Saccharomyces cerevisiae S288C: one gene and its partner. The protein of the gene in region 1 binds, or shares a complex with, the protein of each later gene. Each region holds a gene or a part of one and is shown on either strand. Other genes may lie near its edges. The genes, in order: ASF1 and RAD53. A codon is read from its position in the direction of its gene.

Region 1 (3,610 bases):
CCTAACACTAGTGGAGCCCAGTTGCCGACATCCGAACCAGAAGTACCCCAAATGCACCCATCTTCTGCAGATACACCGGCGTTGTTAATATAGTACTGAGCAGAAGTCTTTTTACCCTGCCATTGATAATAAGTGTCTTCATCAACGACTGAAATTGGTTGTGAATCTCCACCATCAACCACTGTGGGAATCACCATGTTTTCTGATCCTGGGTAATCCGTCCTACATAGAGCAATGGAGTCAGACTTTTTGTTAATGGCCTTAGCAGATGTTTCATCCGTAGAACATAAATCGCTGGTATCAGTGTTGGTACGGTACAAGTAACCATTTTTACAGTAAAGACCACCAACAGATTTACCATCGCTTGGTTGGTCAGAAGGCCATTGAGTCTTTGACATTCCAGGTTCACATGCATAAGAACAGTAGTAGCCATCCTTACATTCGGACGAAGTGTTGGCATCCATGTCCATGACAGAGGCCCATCCACCAAATCCTAGCCAGTCCAAGGAAACTATACCGTTTACAGAAGGGAAGTCCGAACATTTGACAGTACCATCTTGGAATCCGCCATCACGCTTCTGTTCAGAGGTATCCTTCTCAGATGAGGACAATGTAGTGGTAGTAGCAGCAGATTCTACAGTACTAGTAGCGGCATTGGAATCTATGTATTGAGTGACAGTGACAACCGCTGGTTTTTCATCTTTGTGATGATCTTCATGGTGACTGTCCGCTGGAGCAGGTGCAGGGGCAGAAAATGCGACAGAAGAAAGGGAAGACAATATTAAAGCTGCGGAAATTTTCATTATGTGTTAGAGAGAGACGAGTTAAGTATGTGCGACTATACTAGTATTATAATATTAAAGGAAAGTAAGGTACCGTCTATGAGGAGACTGTTAGTTGGATATCAGTAATGAGACGAAAAAGCTCGAAATGAATGGATATATTCTTTTTGCTACTGGCAACTGTTGAATATTTAATGTTAAAACAAACTAACTGAGGTATATTCGTATCTGTATGTACACATATACTATATACAGGAAAAGATAAGCAAGAGAGAGGATATCAACTACGAGAGCGATCGATTATATATCAAAAGCTGTCCGCTTTGCCACCCATAATCGGCGCTTAGTTTCGGAGTTCAATCATAATTCTACCACCTTACACTCAACTTACTCTTTAACTCCTATAGTATAATATCGCCACTGACCCCATATTAAAAAAATTTTTTTGCTCGATCTTCTATCCTCTTTAGGTTAATTGTCGCTGTTATTGTCTAGATTTTTTCTCGGAGATGGCGCATCTATTTGCCGTCAAAAGATCCTCTCATACCATATTAAGTAAATTGCCTCCATTTCTTTTTCCTCGGGCAGAGAAACTCGCAGGCAACTTGCTCTCGAAGTGGTCACGTGCGGGTCTAGGCCTGCATAATCGGCCCTCACAGAGGGATCCCGTTACCCATCTATGCTGAAGATTTATCATACTATTCCTCCGCTCGTTTCTTTTTTCAGTGAGGTGTGTCGTGAAAGAAAACCCACAATTAAACTTTCAACAACCGGGCGACTAGGAAGAGAGTAGTGGGCGCGGATGACGAAGGCTAAGGTCACTTCTTCGTTTCCTTTATTGGGGTTTCCGTGTAGCCTTCCCCTGAATAGTGTGGGACGTTTTATGAGAAGCCGTAAGAAATAGGCAAATTGAGTTATGACAAGTAGACATGATGCCGCAGCCTTGCCTGACTTTACGTCTCCTTCATGAATAAGTTTTTCTATCGAGTTCTTTTCCTTTTTTCGCCTTAATTAGCTCAATTAAGCCTGTCCTCACTACTTTTCTTTTTCTTATCGGCTTTGTGCCACACCTAACCTTCGAATGCTGTTTTATTCCGTTCTTACATGGGATGGTAATGCCTTGGCGAGAATTTCGATTTTCAGGATATTGTCTTGGTGGCGTCTTTTGCTGTTACTATGTGTTTAAGAGAGAGCTGTTCTACAAAGAACTTTTCATTTACGCGTTTTTTCCTTTTTTTTTTTTTCTCATCCTAAACGCGTAAATCTGTTCCCTTTTTCATGTAATGGGCGTACAACCGACGATGGAAAAATGAATCTTGCAATTTTAATACTAACACTTGGAATAACTCCAAACAGGTAAGAGGCTCACAGAATCTCGAAAGTGTAACAGCGTACTCTCCCTACCATCCAATTGAAACATAAGATATAGAAAAGATGTCAATTGTTTCACTGTTAGGCATCAAAGTCTTAAACAACCCGGCAAAGTTCACTGATCCATATGAGTTTGAAATCACTTTTGAATGCTTAGAATCTTTAAAACATGACTTAGAGTGGAAACTAACCTATGTTGGGTCCTCTCGTTCTCTAGACCATGACCAGGAATTGGATTCCATTCTGGTAGGCCCCGTTCCCGTAGGTGTTAATAAATTTGTGTTTTCTGCTGACCCTCCCTCCGCCGAGCTGATTCCTGCGAGTGAATTGGTTAGTGTGACTGTTATTCTATTAAGTTGTTCTTATGACGGGAGAGAGTTTGTTAGGGTCGGTTACTACGTGAATAATGAGTACGATGAAGAAGAGTTAAGAGAAAATCCGCCAGCAAAGGTACAAGTAGATCATATTGTAAGAAATATACTGGCTGAAAAGCCAAGGGTAACAAGGTTTAACATTGTTTGGGATAATGAAAATGAAGGGGATTTATACCCACCTGAACAGCCCGGCGTAGATGATGAAGAGGAGGAGGACGATGAAGAAGAAGATGACGATGAAGATGATGAAGACGACGAAGATGACGATCAAGAAGATGGAGAGGGAGAGGCGGAAGAAGCGGCAGAGGAGGAAGAAGAGGAGGAAGAGAAGACTGAAGACAACGAAACGAATCTTGAAGAAGAGGAGGAAGACATAGAAAATAGTGACGGCGATGAGGAAGAAGGAGAAGAAGAGGTGGGGTCTGTAGACAAGAATGAAGATGGTAATGATAAGAAGAGGAGGAAAATAGAAGGGGGGTCCACGGATATTGAATCCACTCCAAAGGATGCGGCACGTTCAACGAATTAAGAATTTATGGGTTATAAGATTAATGGTACCTGCAAGAGAGGTACACTTTATAAAATGTATAAATAAAAAAATAACAGACATAAGATAAAGTCGGGTTAGGGCAACAGCTACGTAAAAAATAAAAGGCAGTAATATTTTCCATTTAAGTTGATTTTCTTATTATTGTCGTTGAGAACAAAAAGAAATTGGACGAGTCCGGAATCGAACCGGAGACCTCTCCCATGCTAAGGGAGCGCGCTACCGACTACGCCACACGCCCTAATATTATTGATATTGTTGTTTATCAAAGTGAGATACGTCAGTATGACAATACGTCATCCTAAAAGTTCATAAAACACATATGAAACAACTTCATAACAGAACGAACATGTTGGAATAAAAATCCACTATCGTCTATCAACTAATAGTTATATTATCATGTTGGAACGAGAGTAATTAATAGTGACATGAGTTGCTATGGTAACAATCTAATGCTTACATCGTATATTAATGTACAACTCGTATACGTTTAAGTGTGATTGCGCCTATTGCAGAAGGAATGTTAAACGAGAAGC
Region 2 (4,956 bases), on another chromosome or scaffold:
TGAACATGTCCTTCAAAATTGCACTCATCATCCTTATCAGTCCCATCATGTATGTGGCCTCTTGGTGGAGATACACCATCCGGACAAGGCAAAAACTCGCTAAAGTAAAAATGTTGCATGATGGGCAATTTACTAAGGACTTCGGCTTTATACATTTTTATCATCCCTTCAGCAACTTTTGACCAAGTCTTTACACCGCTGATGTCATCTAGCATAGGAGAATGCCATCTCAAGGAGGCGGATGACTTGACCTTATTAATAAAAGCGATACAACCAAAATATAAGTACCGATGAGCGAACATTTCTACGAGCTCATTATTGTGAATTGATATCGGCTTTAAGTGCTTGTGGGTGGTTAATTGGAAGGCACCAAATAGAAATGGAAGGAAATGATAATCATCTAATCCCCAAACACCATGAGAGCCCGCAGGCTCAAGCCAATATTTAGTTTCTAGTATCCTCATTATTTTAAGGTATTCTATAAAAACTTTCAGCACGAGGTTAGTTGAATCGTTTGAAAGATTGAATATTCCATAACTATAGAGTCCATAAAGTAAACACATGAAATTTAATTCATGACCTGAACCATAATCAATTCTTCTTTTATTTCCCCATGATTCATCTAGATAAATCGATAATTGTTCCAACTGCTCATCTGTGAGAGAGGGAAATTCGGAACGTAAGATCTTCCTGGAATTCCGTGAAACTTCGTCATAAAAGTCCCTAAACTCAACCTTACCAAATCTCGAGCTATCTGCATCCTTTATTACTGGGTGCTTCTGAGTGATATCTTTTATTTGCGAAAGCAAGTTCATCATACTGTTTATTGACTCCGATATTGGTTCTTTGTACTGGGAATTCTCATGTCCTTTGACAGATTCAGCCAAATCTATAATAAATTTAGTGAAATGAGCTCTTGTTGGGGATTCTTCCCATAGTTTCATATCGTCTGGAGTCAATAGTCTCTTTTCTGGCAACATCTTTTTCTAAATATTTATATTGTTCTTTACGGATTGTTGTTTATGGACTGTTCTTTCTGCACAGGCGACTAACATAAAGTACCTCTCTCTTGTCATTGATATCCCTTTTGTTCTATCACATCCGTTAGGATTTTATTCTGTGCTTACTCACGTGAAAGAGAGGGAAGAGTGTAAAAGTTACCCGAAAATCTATTATGGCGGCTATTGTAGTACGTCCAAAACAACGTATTTCAATGTAAATTCAAAGCAAACACTGAGAAAAAACAAAAACTTACTTATTGGTTCGCTCAGCACCTACCTAAATGGTACTTTTAGAATGATACTGTATTATCTACCGTGGTATCGGCAACTATAGGACGGAGATAAAGCATGCCAAAGTAATTCTTCCTTTATTAGATGAGATTTCAGCGTGAGGTGAACCATCATTTGTTTGGTTGGTGCATTAATAGCCTGCTTCCTTTTAATTAAGCCGGAAAGTGTTTGTCACAGATGTCAATGAAACGTGCATCTATTAACATATTTATTTTCATTTCGAGGGTGAGGTGGTGTGGACGCGTTGATACGGCAACGGGAGTGACGCGTAAAATTGGCAGAAAAATCATCACCGTGGGTAGACTTGGAAATGAAAACATTTATAGAATAAAGGTACAGGTTGAGAAGATAAAGGGTACCAAAGTTACCATTTTGAAATCTCTGATCAAGAAAAGGTAAGAAAGCAGAAAAGGACGGTAGAGATTATTGGAAGACAAACTAATTTTGTATATGCATTCGATTTTCTTAAGCTTTAAAAGAGAGAATAGTGAGAAAAGATAGTGTTACACAACATCAACTAAAAATGGAAAATATTACACAACCCACACAGCAATCCACGCAGGCTACTCAAAGGTTTTTGATTGAGAAGTTTTCTCAAGAACAGATCGGCGAAAACATTGTGTGCAGGGTCATTTGTACCACGGGTCAAATTCCCATCCGAGATTTGTCAGCTGATATTTCACAAGTGCTTAAGGAAAAACGATCCATAAAGAAAGTTTGGACATTTGGTAGAAACCCAGCCTGTGACTATCATTTAGGAAACATTTCAAGACTGTCAAATAAGCATTTCCAAATACTACTAGGAGAAGACGGTAACCTTTTATTGAATGACATTTCCACTAATGGGACCTGGTTAAATGGGCAAAAAGTCGAGAAGAACAGCAATCAGTTACTGTCTCAAGGTGATGAAATAACCGTTGGTGTAGGCGTGGAATCAGATATTTTATCTCTGGTCATTTTCATAAACGACAAATTTAAGCAGTGCCTCGAGCAGAACAAAGTTGATCGCATAAGATCTAACCTGAAAAATACCTCTAAAATAGCTTCTCCTGGTCTTACATCATCTACTGCATCATCAATGGTGGCCAACAAGACTGGTATTTTTAAGGATTTTTCGATTATTGACGAAGTGGTGGGCCAGGGTGCATTTGCCACAGTAAAGAAAGCCATTGAAAGAACTACTGGGAAAACATTCGCGGTGAAGATTATAAGTAAACGCAAAGTAATAGGCAATATGGATGGTGTGACAAGAGAGTTAGAAGTATTGCAAAAGCTCAATCATCCAAGGATAGTACGATTGAAAGGATTTTATGAAGATACTGAGAGTTATTATATGGTGATGGAGTTCGTTTCTGGTGGTGACTTAATGGATTTTGTTGCTGCTCATGGTGCGGTTGGAGAAGATGCTGGGAGGGAGATATCCAGGCAGATACTCACAGCAATAAAATACATTCACTCTATGGGCATCAGCCATCGTGACCTAAAGCCCGATAATATTCTTATTGAACAAGACGATCCTGTATTGGTAAAGATAACCGACTTTGGTCTGGCAAAAGTACAAGGAAATGGGTCTTTTATGAAAACCTTCTGTGGCACTTTGGCATATGTGGCACCTGAAGTCATCAGAGGTAAAGATACATCCGTATCTCCTGATGAATACGAAGAAAGGAATGAGTACTCTTCGTTAGTGGATATGTGGTCAATGGGATGTCTTGTGTATGTTATCCTAACGGGCCACTTACCTTTTAGTGGTAGCACACAGGACCAATTATATAAACAGATTGGAAGAGGCTCATATCATGAAGGGCCCCTCAAAGATTTCCGGATATCTGAAGAAGCAAGAGATTTCATAGATTCATTGTTACAGGTGGATCCAAATAATAGGTCGACAGCTGCAAAAGCCTTGAATCATCCCTGGATCAAGATGAGTCCATTGGGCTCACAATCATATGGTGATTTTTCACAAATATCCTTATCACAATCGTTGTCGCAGCAGAAATTATTAGAAAATATGGACGATGCTCAATACGAATTTGTCAAAGCGCAAAGGAAATTACAAATGGAGCAACAACTTCAAGAACAGGATCAGGAAGACCAAGATGGAAAAATTCAAGGATTTAAAATACCCGCACACGCCCCTATTCGATATACACAGCCCAAAAGCATTGAAGCAGAAACTAGAGAACAAAAACTTTTACATTCCAATAATACTGAGAATGTCAAGAGCTCAAAGAAAAAGGGTAATGGTAGGTTTTTAACTTTAAAACCATTGCCTGACAGCATTATTCAAGAAAGCCTGGAGATTCAGCAAGGTGTGAATCCATTTTTCATTGGTAGATCCGAGGATTGCAATTGTAAAATTGAAGACAATAGGTTGTCTCGAGTTCATTGCTTCATTTTCAAAAAGAGGCATGCTGTAGGCAAAAGCATGTATGAATCTCCGGCACAAGGTTTAGATGATATTTGGTATTGCCACACCGGAACTAACGTGAGCTATTTAAATAATAACCGCATGATACAGGGTACGAAATTCCTTTTACAAGACGGAGATGAAATCAAGATCATTTGGGATAAAAACAATAAATTTGTCATTGGCTTTAAAGTGGAAATTAACGATACTACAGGTCTGTTTAACGAGGGATTAGGTATGTTACAAGAACAAAGAGTAGTACTTAAGCAAACAGCCGAAGAAAAAGATTTGGTGAAAAAGTTAACCCAGATGATGGCAGCTCAACGTGCAAATCAACCCTCGGCTTCTTCTTCATCAATGTCGGCTAAGAAGCCGCCAGTTAGCGATACAAATAATAACGGCAATAATTCGGTACTAAACGACTTGGTAGAGTCACCGATTAATGCGAATACGGGGAACATTTTGAAGAGAATACATTCGGTAAGTTTATCGCAATCACAAATTGATCCTAGTAAGAAGGTTAAAAGGGCAAAATTGGACCAAACCTCAAAAGGCCCCGAGAATTTGCAATTTTCGTAACCAAGGACAAATACCCATAGAAAATGCTGCCCCTTTTTAAGAGAGAAGATGGTAGATACCAATACTCAGAATTCATCTATTCATAACTTTTTGGGTTTTTATTACATATAGAGTGACGTTTTGATACGATTTACATTTTGAAATATATAGATTTTTGTATATTAATAAGTTTTGATTTTCAGTTTTAGTTATGCTTAATGAATTTTTGAATCAGAAAAAGAAGTTCTGAAAAAAACATAATCCTGCTTGATGTGGTACAACAAGCTCATAAATAATTTTAAAAAGTTTGTTAATCCGTTTTCAATATCTTGAGCTCCTCAATTGTATTTGCTGAGGTCTGATTATTTCTATAACCAAAAGCGGTTATTGAATCTATGGAGAGGCTGTAACCCGTCTTATGCCTTCCGGGTACTATATTTCATTTGCGGGTGTCGATGGATTAAGGGGCGGAGGCGGCCCTTTTTAGGATTTATATAAAAAGCCATACTTCCGTACTTCGTAACCTCTTATCAACTGGTTAAGGGAACAGAGTAAAGAAGTTTGGGTAATTCGCTGCTATTTATTCATTCCACCTTCTTCTTTTTTGAGCGAAGCCTTTATAATCAAATTTTAGTGGTCTTTTCTATTTTTATTTGAGAAGCCTACCACGTAAGGGAAGAATAACAAAAAGTATAT

The links.
Region 2: the proteins of ASF1 (region 1) and RAD53 are in contact, whole or in part, in a crystal structure (PDB 2YGV), measured with the Saccharomyces cerevisiae proteins. Residues at the interface, in NP_012420.1 of Saccharomyces cerevisiae: Phe28 (codon at 2,298), Asp37 (codon at 2,325), Glu39 (codon at 2,331), Asp58 (codon at 2,388), Ser59 (codon at 2,391), Ile60 (codon at 2,394), Leu61 (codon at 2,397), Val62 (codon at 2,400), Gly63 (codon at 2,403), Pro64 (codon at 2,406), Val65 (codon at 2,409), Pro66 (codon at 2,412), Val67 (codon at 2,415), Val69 (codon at 2,421), Asn70 (codon at 2,424), Lys71 (codon at 2,427), Phe72 (codon at 2,430), Val73 (codon at 2,433), Ser75 (codon at 2,439), Asp77 (codon at 2,445); in NP_015172.1 of Saccharomyces cerevisiae: Val803 (codon at 4,222), Lys804 (codon at 4,225), Arg805 (codon at 4,228), Ala806 (codon at 4,231), Lys807 (codon at 4,234), Leu808 (codon at 4,237), Asp809 (codon at 4,240), Gln810 (codon at 4,243), Thr811 (codon at 4,246), Glu816 (codon at 4,261).

Annotation. Positions count from the first base shown.
Region 1 is NC_001142.9:194,071-197,680, forward strand, and holds ASF1 (nucleosome assembly factor ASF1), read left to right. Parts: upstream 1-2,216; coding exon 2,217-3,056; downstream 3,057-3,610. Other genes in the region: SUN family protein NCA3, read right to left, coding at 1-803. UniProt on the Saccharomyces cerevisiae protein: Histone chaperone that facilitates histone deposition and histone exchange and removal during nucleosome assembly and disassembly. Facilitates histone deposition through both replication-dependent and replication-independent chromatin assembly pathways.
Region 2 is NC_001148.4:261,052-266,007, reverse strand, and holds RAD53 (serine/threonine/tyrosine protein kinase RAD53), read left to right. Parts: upstream 1-1,815; coding exon 1,816-4,281; downstream 4,282-4,956. Other genes in the region: peptidylprolyl isomerase RRD2, read right to left, coding at 1-980; YPL152W-A (uncharacterized protein), read right to left, coding at 1,308-1,406. UniProt on the Saccharomyces cerevisiae protein: Controls S-phase checkpoint as well as G1 and G2 DNA damage checkpoints. Phosphorylates proteins on serine, threonine, and tyrosine. Prevents entry into anaphase and mitotic exit after DNA damage via regulation of the Polo kinase CDC5.